4 linked regions of the Drosophila melanogaster genome follow. The protein of the gene in region 2 interacts with the protein of the main gene of each other region in a pairwise test. Each region holds a gene or a part of one and is shown on either strand. Other genes may lie near its edges.

Region 1 (4,689 bases), 1.7 Mb from region 2:
CGTAAAGTGACAACGTGACGCGATGGTTGGATATGTGTATCTTTTCTAGTTTTTGTTTTTTTTTTTTTGTTTGCGGGGTTACGGGGGAAATTGCAATTCTCCGCTGGCTTTTGGTTGTTTTTAATGAGTGTGTGTGGTGTGTGGTGGTCGCCTCCTTGTTGATTTGTCCGCAGTCGGTTTGTTGTTTTCCCGCTTCTGGTGCCGCTGCATTTTTATGCGTTCGTCATCCGTTTGTCATAAAAAAGAAACATCCACTGCAGCAACATTTAATTTTTAATTTAATATCTAATCATTTTCCGTCGTCGTTGATTTTCTTTTTCACAGCTATATGTGCATTAAAAGCTGTCGCGATGCATTTGGCCACTAATGGGTTTTTCTAATTTGCCGAGACTGCCACTTCGAATAGTAAAAATCCTTCAGTCAATTTAATGAGATATTTCACTTTCGCAATCAAAGGAAGCCGAAATCGTAAATATTAAGTAACTAACATTCATCGTAAGTAGAAGATTACAATTTGAAGTGGAATCAAAGGCATTTGTCGGATCGCAGCCTATAAAATGCCGACGGCTTTTTCTGAGCACTTGCATTTAACTCATAGATATCACGATTTCTAAACACTGGTCTTAGCTTTAATACTTGAAGATTTGTTTATAATTAAAGAACCGAAATGTTTATAGAAACCATTTAACTGCAACAGTACTTTACTTTATTATAAAAGTCAGAGTTGGTTGTTGCATAATTCGATAGGGATTTGAAGCTATCAATTTATGTAACATAAGTTACTTAATAAACCAAATTTCAACAAACAATACAGTGCATAATGGAAAAATGTATGATATGAACTTTACAAGATCTTCAAAATCATGCGTGAAGATATCTAATGTAATTTGTGCATTGAAACCTGCGCTCAAGTACGTGGAAACCTTAAAGATAAATACCAGCTCATTGGGCCACAGTATGCACCCGCTGAATGTCATTCCAGAGTTTGGCCAATGCATCTGTGGGGGCCAGTGCAACTGCGAGCCCAGTTAATTCTCGCTAAATAATTGCCAACGATAACGAGGCGTGTGTAATGTGTAGTTGGGAGCAGGGCAATGGCAATAGCTAACTCTGCTTGGCAACGACAATGGAGCAGGCAACAAAGAGGCTAAATTCTGTATTAATTTGCAATTAATGCAGCTAATTATATTTAATTAAATGAGCGGGCCACGCTAACAATGCACTGCATAGATACGTTTTCTACTCGGATGCCGATGAGGGAAGGGCGGTGGGATCTGCGGGATCGCTGGGATCGGTTGAATCGGTGGAAACGGCGGCGGCAGCAGGGATCCAAAGTGGAGCTGAGGGGAGGGGAATCCAAGCAGAGCTTGGACAGTGGGAAAAATGTAGCGCAGGTTGGTGCGGCTTTGAAATGAAACTGATTATTACAATTGTTGTTACGCCCGCTGGCGCTGTTGTTAGTGCGAATTGTGCGCCGCTGCTGCTGTTTATTGTATCTCATAGATACGTTTAGATTATTTTTTGCAAAAATGACACTGAGCCACCGGCAAGTCAATTGTAATACGTTTTAGTAATTTTTCGTGGGGTGGCAGCAGTCGCAAGGCTCAGCACATTAAACTATTTATGTGTAGAGTTTCATTCTGATTTCGTTTTAGCGATCGTTTGATGAGCCTCATTGTTGCAAATTGCCACTGTCCACTGCCGTCGAGCCGTATTATTAGTTTGTTTGTGGCTATTTATTATATTTGGTTTTATTATTAGAACGTCGCAACTATTTTTGAGACCCTCGCCAAGTTTGCTCATGCACATGCCCCCATGCTCATGCCGGTCCAACGATAATGCTGATGTTGATAAAATTAACGTTAATTAAAGTTATTAACCGCCTGCAGCGAAATCGCATCAATTTATTGGTTTTTGCATACTACCATGTCAGGGTTGAGATTTACATAAAAACTGCATTTGGCTGTTTCGAGCAATATTCGAGTGAGTGGAGTGCGTGAGAGGCTAAAAAGGTTTGATATTTCTAACTTGATAATGATGATGAGCACTTCACTTAAATGTCTTTTTTTATTGCAGCCCCATTATTTAGCTTACCATTTTGGGTTGAGTAGCTGCCATAACGTTCAGCCATGCAGATTTTTTAAGCTTTGTAATAAGCCGGAAATTTTGAGATTTATTTAAATATTTCCGAAATTCATCCGCTAAAATGTCCAACCACTGACACACGTAAAAATTTGGCGTATGGAAATTTTATCAAATCAGAAATATATATAAAAGTTTTAAAATTACTTTTATTATGATATTACAATTAATTTTAGTAAATCAATTATATACATGTGAATATATATATATGTGAAAAAAACTGTTTCAGACTATTGGGAAGACCATTTATAATTACTTTAATACCTCTAAAATTTGGTTCCCATAAAAGATTTTAAACTGATGATAGTCAATTGCATGATATACTTCTTCAAAACATATAATATAAATTCACAAGAGCTTAAATCAAGTACTTTGAGATATTTACCGTTATTTACAGATTCGCAAGCTGTTGCCAAAATCAACGAAAGAGTTTTTATGTTCCACTAGCTTTTCCTGAATCCTGTTTTTCATTCACCTTTTAATGGTCGTTTGGTTTTGATGTGTAATTTCTTAACTCTTATCACAATTGAGCACTGTATTCAAAGTATTCATGAGTACCTATGAGTGTAGCAACGAGTATCTGACAGATGGTTATCACCCACGCACTTCAGATGAGACGATCGCAACGCGCCAAAAATTCGGAACTGAGTAGTTTCGAAACGGATTCAAAAATCGCGGAGCAACGGCTGTACAAAACACATGGGGCTCAAAAGTTGCAGTGGCAGCTGTTAAAGATGAATCGTGGGCACACGCCGAAGTTTATTTGCTTGGGTATTGTATGTTGCACTTTGGTTGTTTGTTTGTTGCACGAGTCGAGGGGCGTCCAAGATATATGTGGCCGTTCAATGCGATTCCGGTTCAGATCAGCCGTCGTACGTTCAGGCGCAGCGTCGTCCGTCGACTGAATGAACGTGTGGCGCACGAGCGGCGCTTTGGACCCCCAGCAATCGCAATCATCAGCATAAGTAGCAACAGCAAAGGAGCAGCAGCAACAACAGCAGCAACAACATCGGCAAACACGAGCAAACAAAACGAAGGCGAGGAACCCGAAGCCGCAGGCCCAGCTCAGCGGGTGCGAGCGAGAAAGCGACCGGGGTCTCTCTCACTCACTGCCTCTCGTTCTCTCTCGCTCTGGCTCTCTCTCTGTCGCTCTCTCGCCCACCCCCTAGCCCAAGCCCCACTGGCGGTGCAGCGACGCCGGCAGAGCGCCGACTGCGCAGGAGCAGCAACGGTATATATGCAATTTGCTTGGCACTGTTAAAATAAAAATAATGACGTCATTAAGCGCACAAATGAGCGGCGCTGCTGCTGCAGTCGACGTCGACAGCGCTGCCGGCGCAGACTGAGCTTATAACTGTTGTTCTGAGAAGGAGAAGTTGCACACTTGACGAAAGGCGAGCACTTAACGACGGCGAGGCAGAGATAGAAAGAGAAGGAGAGCGGTCGCGCGAGGGAGAGGGCGCGAGTGTGGGTGAGCGCTTTTGTGAGCGCATTTTGAGCATTTATTACAGCTAAACATTGCACTTTTTACACCGAACGGTGGGAGCGCATTTAGATTCTACATACATATCTTTGGAGATTTGCAAAATAATATTCAAAATCTTTAAACTGTTTGACATAATTTTAAATCCACTTGTACAAATTAACAATGCTTAATTATAATGGAAAAGTAGGAAGTCACCGCAATTTAAAAATCAATAAAATTTATTTTTATTTTTCATTTTATCGTACCAATTTAGAAACTTAATTATGATTTTCTTAATAAATGCCACAACCTCTCTCAACACACAACAACTTAGAATTTATTTTAAGCTTCAGAGGAAATTGTTGGATAAACCAAACCTGTGATATGCATCACAAGACGACTTGTCAAATGCCCCGAAATTTCACCCCAGCTCGACCCCTCGACAACTATTGCTGGGAATTAATAATTTAGGTCTCGATCCGCAGAGCAGAGCCAATGCCAAAAGCTCCAGTCACTCAGCTCGTCGGTCAAAACCCCACTCGAAGCCCAGAACCCTCTTGCTACCACTCCAGCCCTCCGTCCACCGTCCTCCAACTCCCACCCACCCACAATGTGACGTGTGCCGGGTCTAGTGAACCACACCCCTCCGCCCCTTTTGCAACGGCTCGAACCGCTTCCAGAAAACCGAAAAGTGCCAATAAATATGGAAACGTTTTGCCTTGTTCTGCCCACTCTTCCTCCCACTCTTCCACCCAATTCTCTGCCATCCCTCTCTGCCACGTCTTCTGCTCCTTCTTCGGCACTCTTTCATCTCCACTGGCAAAAACTTTACCAAATTTCAATTCAATTTATAAGAAAGGCGGTTCTCACTTTGGGTAACATAAAAAGAACGTGATAATTAGATCCAAATTACAAAAACATTAATTTCATAAAATTAAATTTTAAATTTTCACATTAGTTAAATTAGTAACTAATATATTTTATTTTTATTTTATTAATTTATAAATTGGATACTACTGATATTATTGATTGCACGTAGGTTACTATACCTTTTATTCTCCATATAATACACTGTAATAATT
Region 2 (5,870 bases):
CCTAACATTTTTCGCATTATCACTTACATACATATACATTACAATTGTCTATCGACTCATTCGTAACTTAAACATAATAACCTAGTTGTCCCTATAGGATGGACTGTCTGTACCTCTGTTATTTACACACTGAAAGTATATGTATGTCGTAAGGAGGCTTCACAACTGAATCTCTAAATGTAATATGTAGCTACATTGTCGCTGGTCATGATTAGCTATGGAATCGAGTCTTGAAATCGCGGCTCTGGCAGAAAGTCCTCCTCCAACTCGATGCGCGTATCGCTGTGATATCCTAGCAAAGATTCCGTGTCCTCTTCCATATGTCGAATCGGAAATGTTTTGCCATCGCCAAAGCTAAAGGATATGTGGTGAATTATATCATCAGTGGGAAATTGATAAGTAATGAGTGCGTTATTGTGTATGTAATGGATTGATTGAAGATTCGGTGCTGTGCAGATGAAGCAAAGCTGTCATGTTTATTTATTTGGCAAACTAAAAACAAACCTTTATAAGTTTTAAATACTTTAAAATCCATTTAATTTCGTCACTTGCAGAAGTTCAATAATATATGTATTTGGGCATTAAGGTGTACAAAGTAAGAAAAAGTATAAAAACTTGCAAACAGTTACTAACTACATAAATTAAAACCATATGGAAATTACTGAATTCCGTGTGTGTTAATAGTGTGTACTGAAATCTCATTGCTTATCATTAGGTTTAAGTCTTGAAGATCTTTCGATATCTACAAGGATAGTTGGTTTCATGAATGCATTAGCAAGGTACAAATCTTCGGAGGATAACACCATCTCATCTACTAGGAAATTCCACATTCGATTCTTCTAATTTCCATTAAAAAATTCGATAAATGCGTGTGTGAAACCAATGACATATTGCCTAATGTTAACTTAGTCGATTATACATATGTGGTGATTTATATTATGGTCCCAGCCATTTAAACATTTAAATAGCCTACACTAAACAGCTGATGAATTGCATAGAGGTAACTTATTTGCTTACTAAGAACCGCAACGCTGACAAATCTGGCAGTTTACTTGGCTCTATGGTACAAAAACATACACATAATACATTCTACGTTATTATTTAAACTGGCAGATCGCCATTCGGCGGGCGTGGGAAGCCTTTGGCAGGATCAGCGCTTGTCAACGGATGATCTCCAATCATTTCGATGTATACGGCTGCCCCATTGACTCCACGCTCGTCCGGGCTAGACATGGCTGCTGGCGTGCTGCAGTCTAATGATTGGCCGTTTGCCAGCTTTTGCTGCCGCTCGTTGAGCTCGTCCCGGCATGTAGATGGCGGCTGGATCTGCAACAGCTGGGTTGGCAGGACGCTGGTGCTTCTTACTTGATGAGGCGATTGGTTGTGATGATGGTTAGTGGTGTCGAGGGGACTAGCGCCAATCAACTTATCTGTTGGATTGCCATCTAACCTGCTGGTGGTCGTATCTCCCATGGCATCGTACCGCTGGGTGGGAGAGCTGGTGGACACTCGACTCTGGTCGCTGGAGGTCGGATAGCTGTAGCCATCACCGCGACTAGTTCCGTGATTATGAATAAGCAGAAGGTTGGGGTATTGCGTTAAACAGAGAGTTGTAAACATAAATATTGTTTTTGTTTTTTTACAGTTTAGCTTATTGTAGTTGTAGCTGTTGTTGTTTGAGGTTTTTTTGTTATATAATTTTGCACAGATGTGTGAATACGAATGTAAAAATTTAATCGACTTTTCATGTGTGGCAAGTGTTTTGGTTTTAAAGAAACTTAATGAGCATTTAAAATTCAGAAAGTTCCGTCAGAATTTCAAACTTGGACACTTTAAGTTAGTCACTTTACGGGGCGGACAATTGGTTACTAAGCTTGTTTTGGTTAGATCTAAGTGTCTATTTCTAAAAATCGCTGGCAAAATTTGTCTCTTTTTATTTACAAAAATAAATAACGAACACAATTGAAATAAAGTGATAATTTGAATTTGGCTTAAAACTAAATTACAAAAGGAGATCGACCACATTGATTCATTGCTTTTCGGTCTCATTTTTCAGCATACACAGTTATTATGGGTTTACATAAATTATACGTGTTAGAAATTGCTTTAAGTTAATCTAAAATCTGTGATCTTCAATAGTCGTTTGTTTTTCTTAATAACTTAGCACACCAAACACACATTGAAGGATATTAAAGGTTTTAGCTACAAAGCTTTAATTTTGGAACATGCCTTTAATTTGCCGAAATCAACATAAAAACCAAAATCAAATAGCCATTAGATCAAATCTAATTAAATAAAAGTGCGCAAGAACAACAACTAATGAGTGAGAGAGCTTCTGGTGGAACTAGTAGAAATGGTGTAGTAAATGAATCGTCAAATACCTCGAAAACACGGGCAGGAACCAGTATTGCCAGTCGTCACCAAATACTTCGCAGAAATTGGCATAACGCCCCAAGTTATAACCATTCTTATCGGGGCCGCCAACGCGGAAGATCGGAGCCCTGAACGACTCTGAATGGAAGATAGATTAAAGAGGCTATGGTATGCATGTGATTTATAAGTCAGGCTTTAGGTACTTACCCAATGTCGTGCGATTCACCAGCACAAGGTAGATGTGGTAGCCAAATAAACTCACCAAACTAATGGCAAACATAATGGCAATGAAGAACAGGAACAAGATGTGAAAACGACCCATTCCACTGGCATTTAGCTGTCCCTGTGCCGAGTAACCATTATTATCGTACTTGGATCAGTAAGTACAAGCAGTTTAGATAACATTACAGCAAAACGAGAGAATACATTCATTAACTAACAGGTCTTCGCATGCAGCGGGCATTTAGGGTGGTAGCAAGAGTAGAAACGAATCGGAAACTTACTGCACCTACCTTCCAGAACTCGACAAAGTCGTGTAGCGAGGTAAAAGCCACATACAGGCAGTAGACAAGAGCATAGCCCAGGAACAACACGAAGTACTTGTAGTTGTAAAAGTTAACGCAGTTGTTTACCCAGGGGCAGTGGTGATCCATCTTCAGTACGCAGCAACTGCACACACTACAGTGGTGAGCTCGGTCTGGCTTGATGATCTTGCACTTTTCGCAGAACCGCACCGAACCATTCATTGTGCTGCAAGGCAAAGGTTTAAATATTATCAAAAATGCTTCGGAATGCGCCGTCCTAATTGTTCTGCTGCTGAGAAATGCATTTGGAAATGTCTTAATTGGGACAACTTTTAATTTCTTAGATAAAATGGTTTTGTTTGATAAAGTTATACAAATACAAATCAACTGACAAGATATAACATAACATAACGCTTACCGATTCGTTACTGGCAAATCGCGCGCAAAGTTGTTAAGAATGCGTTTCTGGGTGTCCGGGCTGTCGGCTCGGAAAAGTCGCGACACTTCCTCATCCGGTATCCTCCACTAAAAACGGGAGAAAAGCAATCGAATATTGTAGGCTTTTCCGTTTTCTTTTAATAACACGAGCTGATAAGGTGTATGATTCACTCACTTGATCTGGTATTCGGCCTACGGAGGTCATTATGGTGCGCCAGTACGACCACATGAACAGGGTGAGGAAGAGGTGGTAGAACAGAAGCATGAAGATCATACCAATGCGGTTCTCCGAGTTGCCTGAAAAAGGAAACATCAGGTTATATCCCCCCCCTACATGACTGTAAATACAACTCACGGATGCATAGCTCCACCACATAAGCGTAATAGGACCAAGCTATTACCGCGGTGATAAATAGCACTGGTATCCATTTGAAGACTGCCATACAAAATCCGCAGGGTGTCTTCCGCCGTCGATGATCGTCGTTACCCATTCTATTTATGTGGGCCACCACTTCGGCAAGGGCGCGTGTGTCTCGGGGCGTTGGTGTCACCTCCACCTGGAGCTGGAGCGGATTAGGGGCGATCGATGGGTCTGCAATTGTGGGTGCTCCTCCAGCGGTCGCTCCACTGGCCAATTCAATGTCTTTATCTTTTAGTGATTCACTGACTTCGCAAGCTGTTAACAAACGCTTTTTGACGCTATCCGCTGCTTGCTTCCCCTTTTGGGCGGACAGGTGCCTATTTCACCTTATCGCTGCGACATTTTCGGTAGTATTTCTCAGTTAATTTGCTTTTTCAGATGAAACCAACTAAATTTTGGCTGTCAAATTGGGGAAACTCAAATTGGTTTAGGGATGGGCGGTTCGTGTGTTGTGGGTGCCGTGACACGATACTATCGATTATAAGAATTTCAATTGGTAACACATTTTGGATCATCGTATTCTGCGTAGTTTTCAATATATAATTGCTTGACTTTGGATATGTTTCTGATATAAATATAATAATTCTTCATAATTATTTAGTCTCAGATTTTTATTATGGTACAATTAATTTATTTAAACATCTAACATGATCCAAGACAGATTTCCTCGTACACCCACTCTATATAATGTTTGGTATAAAATAACGTGTACATTTTGTTATGAAATTAAGAACAAATATTTCATCCCATATAAATGTTTTTAATACTTAAATAAGTAGCTGCCATCACTATTACTTATTCAAGTCTAGTATTTTTTAAAGTGTTTCCTAATATACCAAAGTGCATAGTAGTCATTCCCGGCTTGTCTATCATTTAATGAAGTACATTTGATTTTGGATATCGCCGTAATTATAAAAGAGTCCTAAATATTTTTGATCACCATGAGCCGCGAAGTGTTATCACCTCCTGTCCAAAAGATGAGCCAGAATCGGCGCTATAGAGTCAACGTTGTTCACGACGACTTCGGTGGCGACAAGTGGAATGGTCAAAACCAACGGAATAAACTAGAGTACAAAGCCTACGAAGAGCCGGGTAAGTGGATATTGTAGATTTTTAATTATCCACATTGACCACTTCTGTCCAGATCTTTATGGTGATGATGATGATGACGAGGACGATGCGGTTGTCAAATGTATTAAGGAGTCAGCAAATGGCGATTTTAGTCTTTCCATTCATGTGTCCAAGTGGGTTGAATACAAAGAACCGCTGACGATATCTCTGACACATATCCTTGCAGATCATTTTACGGTGGACTAATTGGCATGAAAGGATCTACGAAGCGCCGCATAGAGGAAGAGACCCGTACAGAGATCTTTGTTCCGCGTCCGAACGATAGGTCAAACGAAGTGACTATCAAGGCCAAGCAACGCAGTCAAGTATGCGCTGCACTGCGACAAATCCACCATCTTGTAGCCTCTTTACGAAAAAAAATGAAACCGACACACTTTTTGGCCGTGGCTCTAAACTCTGGAGAAGTCAAGGAGCGTTTTATGGAACTAAAGGTATTAGCTAAAAAAACTAGTTGTGCAAAAACTTATTTCCAATTTTCCTAGAAATGCATTTTGGAGGCCGAGTTGCCAGGCATCGATAAGGAGCTTTTCACTCCGGAGTGCTGCATTCATCTTACCTTAGGCGTCTATGTGCTGCTAGATGACATTGAACGCCAAGAAGCCCTGAAGAATCTGGAATCATGTCGTCGTTTACTGGATGGCCTTAAAATACCTTTCCAAATTAAAGTTAAGGGCCTGGAGATTATGAACGACGATCCAAGCTCCACTCGCATTCTGTATGCCCGCATCGAGTCTCCGGATCTGCAAAAGTTTGCGGATCAGTGTCTGGCCCACTTTCAGACTACAGCACTGTGCGCTACAGACAATATTGAACGTGAATCCATTAAACTGCACATGACGGTGATGAACAACCGCTACCGCAATAAGGCAAATAAATCTGGTAACAGCTTTGACGCTCGCGAGATCCTCAAGCGCTTTGGAGACTTCGATTTCGGAGTAGCCCAGTGCCAGGCTGTACATCTGTGCGTATTGAATTCGCGCTCC
Region 3 (3,224 bases), on a different chromosome or scaffold from region 2:
TCCATCCGCAACGAAAGTGCCATTGCCTATGGAGGAGATACGTACTTTGTACGTTTGAATCGGGCACTGTTCGAAGTGCGAAGAGCATTAAGGGATATGTGGCTGGGAAATCCCGTGCTGACCACTGTCATCTTCGGCCTGCCATTGGGATTCTTATCGCTCATCATGTACTCTATTTTCTGCGGCGATTGCTTGGTCACAGAAGAAGATCCCGATGAAGATCACGAGAAGAAGGAGTAAAGGGATAACTTAAAAATGAATCTAGTGAAAGCTTTTGATTGCGAGTGAATGTTAGAGAAAGTAAATAAGATGATCTCATAGTGCATTTCCGAGCAAGATCATAAAAAGCTAGGAACATACAAGAATATGAAATGATAAATCCCTATAAGAAGTCGTAGAAGACCCCACCCCTCCTCTAGACCACTTTTCTACCGCATATAAATGTAAGCCAAATCTAGTCCTATGTCAGTGTATGTCATTGCCGCTTGGCACGAACTTCCAATACGCTTTAAGATTCGCCATCTGACACAAAGAAGTCCATACGTATTTGGGCATCTAGTTTTGTTTCTCGTTTTAAGTTAGTAAAAGTAATAAACATGATTTAGCGGATGTGAGGAGCGGGCATAACTTAAATTAGATGTTGGGCGGAATTTCGGACGAATCAGCAGCCGTAATCCTCGTCGTCGTCGCTATCGATGGCCGCCCGCCGCCGATCGTATTTCACGGAGGACTTGCTCTGCGGCATCTGAGCATTGACGCTTTCGAGGATGCTGACGAACTGGGCGTCATCAAGTTTTCCACGCACCTGACCCATCTGGGCCATGCGGATGACCATGTTCTCGAACATTTGCGCCTTCTCCGGCTTGCTGACTTTGAGGGTATTAACTAAATGATATTTTATAAGTTATTAGCTAGAGATATTCAAGGTCTAGATCCACATACGTCGTGCCCTGGCCTGCTGGTCCAGAACTTGGGATAATATCGAGTGCTTCATTTCCTCCTGGGCGCGCATCTGCTCCTGCTGGGCTTGTTGCTTTTCCGCATCATTGCCGCCGCCCTAAAAATAGGAAAAAAGGAGTTAAGGTCATTGAAGGATTGCCCTTTAAAGAAACAGGTGTCCCAGTCGAGAAGGATGACTCATAGGGAAGGTGTCTATAAGAACTAACAAAGCATACCATTGCTAATGTATTCTTAACATTTTTATTATATTTTATATAGTCTAATTTGCTTTCATTCCAAGTTATGACTATTTTTGGAATTCTCTAGAGGAATCTAGCCGGTTTGGAGCCACTCAAATATTTCACTTACGAATTGCGACTGCATTTGGGACATGCGCTGCGCGCGTAAGGCATCCAAATCACTATCCGACATTCTGGGTTCTTATTCTCAGTATATTTATGGCAGTAAATTAAGTAATTATTGCTTTTTTTGCTTCTATAAAAATAAATCACGCTCTTTGTAGCAAAAAAAGTGTGCGATTGAACAGTGTGACCTTGCTATTCCTTGCTTATTCGTAAATCCGAATGCTCAAAATTGCGTTTGAGTAGCCCTGGTCATTCGGTGTTTTCTAGAAGAAGAAGAGTTGCGAAGAAAAATAAAATATTTGCCAAGGAAAACAAACATATTAACGAAATACCCACAAAATAAGGAACGAATTTGAATCGTTAAAAATGTCTGCACCGCTAGAGAACCTTGAGACCCAGCTAGAGATGTTCATCGAGAATGTTCGTCAGATCCGCATAATCGTAAGCGATTTTCAGCCACAGGGTCAAAATGTACTCAACCAGAAAATGTAAGAAAATGCTAAAATTTATTTGATCAAATGTCTATAAATATGTGCACCATTAGTAACAGCTTGGTGACCGGCCTACAAGAGATCGACAAGCTGCGCTCCCAGGTGCAGGACGTCTATGTGCCATTTGAAGTGTTTTTTGACTACATCGACCAAGACAAGAATCCTCAGCTGTACACCAAGGATTGCGTGGAGAAGGCACTGGCCAAGAACGAGGAGGTCAAGGGCAAGATCGAGGGCCTGAAGAAGTTCAAAACGAATCTGCTGCTGGAGCTGTATAAAACATTTCCCAATGAGATGAACAACTACCGCGCTTATCGCAAGGACTCCATGTAAGGACGTGCTCGAAGGACACGCGACCTGAACTTTAGATTGTAAGCCACATGTTGGAATAAATTTATACTTCTGTACATAAAACTCTGTGTTTCACTATCCATTAAGACTATATGTTGGTATACTTTCCTGCTCTTTGTCTGATATTTTCTTATGTATATATATAAAATGTTACTTATTAAAGACATTAATTTGTATATTTTTACCTTCCTTTTCTTTTTGCTTATATTGAACCTCTATCCTATTTGAACTTTATTAAATTGAATTGTTTCTATGAATAAGTTATACTATATTTAATTACTTAATTTCAATTAACAATTTTTAAGGTCTTACATTTTAAATAGACCAATGACTATTTAAACGTCATAAATGTCAATATTTAATAGTTAAATGAAATAGTTTAAAAAGTTTTAAGCTCGATAGTCGCAAAGCAGTAGCGTTGCCACCTTAGTTTCATATCAGCTGTTTTTTGTTATTATCAGCTTGTGTAATTAAAGGCTTCGATTGTGTATATCATTCAGTTAAATTTATTGTAGAAAATGAGTAGAGTTATTAATGGCTTTAAAAGTGCTGTAAAAGCTACAAATTATACACCGCTTGTTAGAAATGCAGCACAATTTAATCAATTCCAGTTGCCAGAAATACGGAAATTTTCAGTTGAATCTTCGCCGGCTTGTTGGAATTGCCAAAAGAAATCGGAATTAAAGCAGAATATGATATGTTCGGACTGTGGACACTTGCAGGATGTTAACTCAGGAATAGTTAGTACTTATCTACATTTTATTTGGCTAATTTAACTTTTAGTTTCTGTAGAATTACTTTAAACTGCTCAGCTTTCCCATTCAATTTTCTTTGGAGTCCCAGAAGTTGACAAGAAGTTTTCGCCAGTTGCAGACCATTGTGCATCCCGATAAATATAGTAATAAGTGGGTATAGTCATAAGTGATAAAATCAGGAAGGCAACGATAAAATCCCCTTGTTTACAGAACCTCACGGGAGCAAACAAACTCCTCAGACTGGAGTTCCCTCATCAACAAGGCATATAAAACGCTTTCCACGCCCATAGATCGTGGTCAGTACCTTCTTCAACTGGAGGGCG
Region 4 (4,691 bases), on a different chromosome or scaffold from region 2:
GAGCAGGGATAACCACCGATTGCCAGGAACGACAAAGTAGCTTTCAAATGTGCTCAGCACTCAGATACATATGTAGCACATAGACGCCATCCCGCTCTAGCAGCTGCCGTCACTCCTCTCGAGTGGCGTTTCAATTAATTAGAAAAAGTTAAAGAAACGCCACGGCAAAAACGAGAAGCGAAGTACGAAAATACAAAAAACAAAAAACAAAAAACAAATACCTACATAATAAAATGTAAGAGCGTATGTTGTAGCAGCAAAAGCAGCGACGGCAGCTGCGGTGGCGATTTTTGTTCTTCTCGTTTTTTCTTCTGATTTTTTTTTTTTCTTTTTTTGTTGGAGCAGCGCGAAAGATGCCACCAATCCAGCCAAAGAGCCAAAGCGGTCAAGAGGGGCGGTGCAGGGGGTTGGTTGCCAAAGGGATGGGGTAATGGGGGAGGAGGGGGTTTCTGGAGGGGAACGGCCGTAGCAGCGACTGCGGCAGAGGCGGATGATAAAACATTACCCATCGCGTTTGGCCCAACCTCTTCACGAGTCTCGTCGTTCATGTTCATCAGGCTTTTCTTTTTTCATCAACGGCGAAAAGCGAGAAGCGAGCGTAAACACTTTGCTTTCATACGTCGCGACATTCGTCTTGTTGTTGTTGTTGTTGTTGCGTTGTTTATGGCAACAACTACACGTAGCAACACCCACGGCAGCAGCAGCAGCAGCAACAGCAACTGCGGCAGCAGCAGCAAGTAGCAGCGTTGCAACAGCAACAGCAGCAGCAACAACAGCAGCAACATCATCGCCGACAACAACAGCAACAACATCGCCTACAAATACATACATCGGCATTTACAACAACACGCAATAACAGCCATTTTTCTAGTTGTTAAGTTAATTTTTTCATGTTCTGCCGCTCTCGGTGTTGCTGCTGCTGCTGCTGCTTCTTGTCGCCGCTGCTGCTGCTGCTGCTGCTATGCCATCTCGCTCGCACGCCAGCAAGACGACAGCCAACGCGAGCAAGTTGCGATACTACCGCTGTCGCTGCCGCTTGGTTGCGATTCGTGGCCAACGGCGCAGCGGCTATAGCCATCCCGCTCTCGCCCGGCCGCAGCTGGCAGATACTTTATTTATGGTCACACAGGCGGTAGATACTTTTTTTGTTGCCCCCACCCCTCCACCTAACCAACTGGTTTGCTGCGTCTCGCTCGCACTTGCAGCGAGATTGGTGGCTACGTTTCGGTAGGGGGTTGAGGGGTATCTACCGTAGCATACCGATTCCGATGCCGATTCCAATCCCAATCCCCTGAGTGCCACACACAGCCGGAGCGCCAGCCCACTTATAATGATAATCATTATTGCCGTTGTTGCCGTTCGTGTTGTCGTCGTGCCGCCTCGTTTGCTACTTTTTCCAGCGCACACAGATACTTTTCGCACGCACACCAGCGCACAGATACTTGGCCGCTCTCAAAAAGAGCAAAGAGAGCGCACGCACACCAGCGAAGGTGCGAGTAAAAATTAAGGGGAGAAACCCGTTTGTGCGCTCTCTCGCTCACACATACAAACGCGGCGCGGGCTATGTATCGATGTGGTGGTGCGTGGGCCTGTTCTTGTTGTTGCGCTGCGCTGTTTTTCGATTGTCGGTTGTCGTGTAATTCCCATTTGTCGTACACTTTGTAGTTGCTCAAGAAACTCATGTTAGTCTACTTTTGACTGTTACGCAGATTGTTCGTATCGTTCGTGTCCGCCGCAGTGCCAGTGCCGCAGTGTGAATAATAGTGCTCTCTGCCCGCCGCTCGCCGTCGTTCTGCGAGCTGGATTCAAATTCAGTACCCAGATTCAGAAACAGAATCAGATTCACACCCAGATACTACTATTTGCTGCCGCCGCCTCTGGTTCATTCGTGCTTCGTTTTCGCATCCTCCGGATAGAGCTGCTCCTCCCGAATACCGATTCTACCAATTCTACAAATTTAAACGACTCACATAAACGATTCCCGTCGAGCCGCCCGTCGGATTTTACGGATTTACGGTGCCCAGTAGCGCCTGTGTTGGCCAGCTAACTCGAGTTGGCCAGCTCCTTGCAGCCGTCGGCAAGTGCAACGCAGTGCAACGAAACGAATAACAAAAAAAAATAAACACAGCCCAAAGAAAGTAAACACTGAAATAGCTCGCAAGCCGGATCCAAAATCAACATAAAAACTAGTTCGGATCAATCACAAGATCACAGATCGCACAATCACAATCACTTCACTCGGATTATAAATCTATCTAAATACACATACGTCGGTTCAGTGCGCGAGTCCATCGGTGCATCGTAACTCTAAGATTTGCTTTATAGTTTTAGTTAAAAGCAAAAATTAATATTAAATGACAGTGCACAGTAATGAAACCGGTATCTGTTTAGTAATGGTGCGTATATCAATTTGTTTTTTTTCCCCCATTTTTTATTACTTGTAAGATGGTTCAGTTAATCGCTGCATTTTAGCTTGTCTGGCATTTGGATAGTGGCAATTAGATTGAAAACCCGTTCAGCTACGAGGCAAATCAGTGCAACACATGTAGATAAAAGCAGAAACAGTGGGATTACTCTGGGTTCGAATACCTTAGCATTTTGATTTGGCAAACGGAAGACATGGATTTAAAAATAAAACAGATTGAAAATGTCAGGACCACAAGTGTGCTACATTGGGCGAACAACACGCGAAAAACCGTCTGCCAATTCGGAAAATCTCTCTTATGCATCAATGTCTCTTTGGTTGTTAACCAAGCTGGCAAGGTCACCGCACATCGTGCTCAGTCACACTTGAGTGTCCAATAGGATTTTAGCCATAATAATCCCTCAGTGGTAACACGATCCCCAGTTAATATGGTATCCCTGTTCCAAAAATTTAATCGCTTGCACTCGACACTCGAGCATATTCATATATTTTCATATATGTATGTAAAAGCAACTTGTGGCGCAAAGTCGAAAGCTGAAACGGAATATCGGAAATATTAAATGCTCTTTAAACAAACATGAATGGCTGTCACTCTACCCTCGCCATCATAATGGCTACCCGAAAATAATTTACTTTAGCCGCAAAACGACCACTTCGAGTTGAGATATTTGTTGTGTTATAGTTATAGCCTGTAGCCATAGATAGTCGATAATCATCGGCGGTTGATTCAAAGAGCCGCATTGATAAGAAATCGTACGAGTGTATTGTGGATCCATCCAGCCATCCGGCAAACACCGGGAATTAATTTTTAATCGCATAGGGCCACTTGAGTTGTCACTTGATGAAAGCACGAGACGCAACACCGAACCGAATCCCAACTGCAACAGCAACATCAGCGACAACATTGTGGCGGTATCAATCACGACCGATGATACAACATGCAGCACTGTGACCGCCGGCCTGCGATAAAAATCGTATCTTACGCCTCGGATCATTTGTAAAATGTTAAACGGGAAGAGCGGCTCCAAGCCCCGAAGCCCCGAAGCCCCGGAGCCCCTGGAGCCCCAAAGCCCACAGCCCCAAGCCTCAAGAAGTGGAGAAGTTAACCAAGGAGGCAGCGATAAACAAACCTGAAACTTGTTTTCCTTACCCCATGTCGCATGTGTGCGAATGTGTACGTTGCTCTTGTCCACTGAAGTTGTTGCAGTTGTTGCTCTTGCAGTTGTTTCAGTTGACTAAAAGTGTTGACAAAAGTGCGCGATAGGCTTATGTGCACACACAAACACACTATATACCATGCTATACCATACCATACCATACCATATAGAGGATCGATCCAGGCAGTCATTGGACAACTTACAATCAAATTGCTCTTAGGACGTTGTTGCAGCTTGTCGTTGTTGTTGCTGTTGCCGCTGTCGTCGTTGGCAGCAATCGGCTGTGTAATTTAAATCAATGTTGTCAATCGAAAACATGATTTGTTGGTAATGGCGGCCCCACTTTGAAGATCGCCGGATCGCAGGGGAAAGGGGTTTTCGGGAGTGGAGAGAGGAGAGAGCACAGTTTGTAGGGGGGGAAGAATCCATCGGTTGGGATCCCAGTTTTGTGGTTCTGAGGCTCTGCAGTTCTGAAGGGCCCGTGGACAGCCCACAACCCATCCCACTGAAGAGACGCTCTTATCGCACTGATAAGGGGCTACGTTTTTAATTAAGTTTTAGTGCCAGCTGGTAGCGCGGTACAGTAGACCGTCTATTGGGGCTTTTTATCCAGCGCAAGAAGCAGCGCCTTAATGGCCGCCATAAACTCGAGAAACGAATTGGAAAAGATCAAAGTCGGATAATCAATTTACTGAAATTAACTTCAAAGATGAAGAACATTTTTCTAAAAAAGTTTCGTTTTAGAAAGAGGCCTTAAAACATTTTATTATAAGCTATCAAGGGATTAGTAGTGCAGTACTTAAATTTATAAATTTTATTTATTATTTTATTTCAAATTTGTTTACTTATTGTACAACATATTGTTCATAATCAACTTGGACAGCTATTTTTAGTACCAAACGCTTGTTAGCTCCGTTAAGCAAATGCACTCAACGTTGTTGTCTTCCACTTAACTTGCAGAATGCCGTTTCAACTCACCTTGCCACCTCGTCGCCCAACACGCCTCCAACCAACGCTCCGCAGAGTCCGCCCTCGACGCTGCCCACGCTCGCCTGTCCCGCCGCCCAGCCGCTGAGTGCACCGGGAATCGCCGGGCCAGGACACAGTGG

What was found.
Region 1: the proteins of CG1407 (region 2) and pdm3 interact in a two-hybrid assay, tested with the Drosophila melanogaster proteins (one large-scale study listed by BioGRID).
Region 3: the proteins of CG1407 (region 2) and PDCD-5 interact in a two-hybrid assay, tested with the Drosophila melanogaster proteins (one large-scale study listed by BioGRID).
Region 4: the proteins of CG1407 (region 2) and mirr interact in a two-hybrid assay, tested with the Drosophila melanogaster proteins (one large-scale study listed by BioGRID).

Annotation. Positions count from the first base shown.
Region 1 is NT_033778.4:8,325,846-8,330,534, reverse strand, and holds the start of pdm3 (pou domain motif 3), read right to left. Parts: upstream 3,046-4,689; 5' UTR 2,528-3,045; intron 1-2,527.
Region 2 is NT_033778.4:10,028,704-10,034,573, forward strand, and holds CG1407 (uncharacterized protein), read right to left. Parts: upstream 4,191-5,870; 5' UTR 3,827-4,190; coding exon 3,691-3,826; intron 3,633-3,690; coding exon 3,511-3,632; intron 3,423-3,510; coding exon 3,316-3,422; intron 3,124-3,315; coding exon 2,877-3,123; coding exon of another isoform or gene 2,805-2,876; exon of another isoform or gene 2,744-2,804; coding exon 2,581-2,743; intron 2,512-2,580; coding exon 2,382-2,511; intron 1,966-2,381; exon of another isoform or gene 1,556-1,965; coding exon 1,102-1,555; 3' UTR 560-1,101; downstream 1-559. Other genes in the region: CG12129 (uncharacterized protein), read left to right, coding at 4,698-4,848, 4,901-5,000, 5,054-5,318, 5,370-5,870.
Region 3 is NT_037436.4:16,230,532-16,233,755, forward strand, and holds PDCD-5 (programmed cell death 5), read right to left. Parts: upstream 1,508-3,224; 5' UTR 1,372-1,507; coding exon 1,309-1,371; intron 1,058-1,308; coding exon 943-1,057; intron 886-942; coding exon 662-885; 3' UTR 550-661; downstream 1-549. Other genes in the region: Tmx3 (Thioredoxin-related transmembrane protein 3), read left to right, coding at 1-240; MED10 (mediator complex subunit 10), read left to right, coding at 1,671-1,792, 1,849-2,128; Hsc20 (heat shock protein cognate 20), read left to right, coding at 2,665-2,886, 2,939-3,051, 3,112-3,224.
Region 4 is NT_037436.4:12,691,958-12,696,648, forward strand, and holds the start of mirr (mirror), read left to right. Parts: upstream 1-1,681; 5' UTR 1,682-2,354; coding exon 2,355-2,396; intron 2,397-4,542; coding exon 4,543-4,691.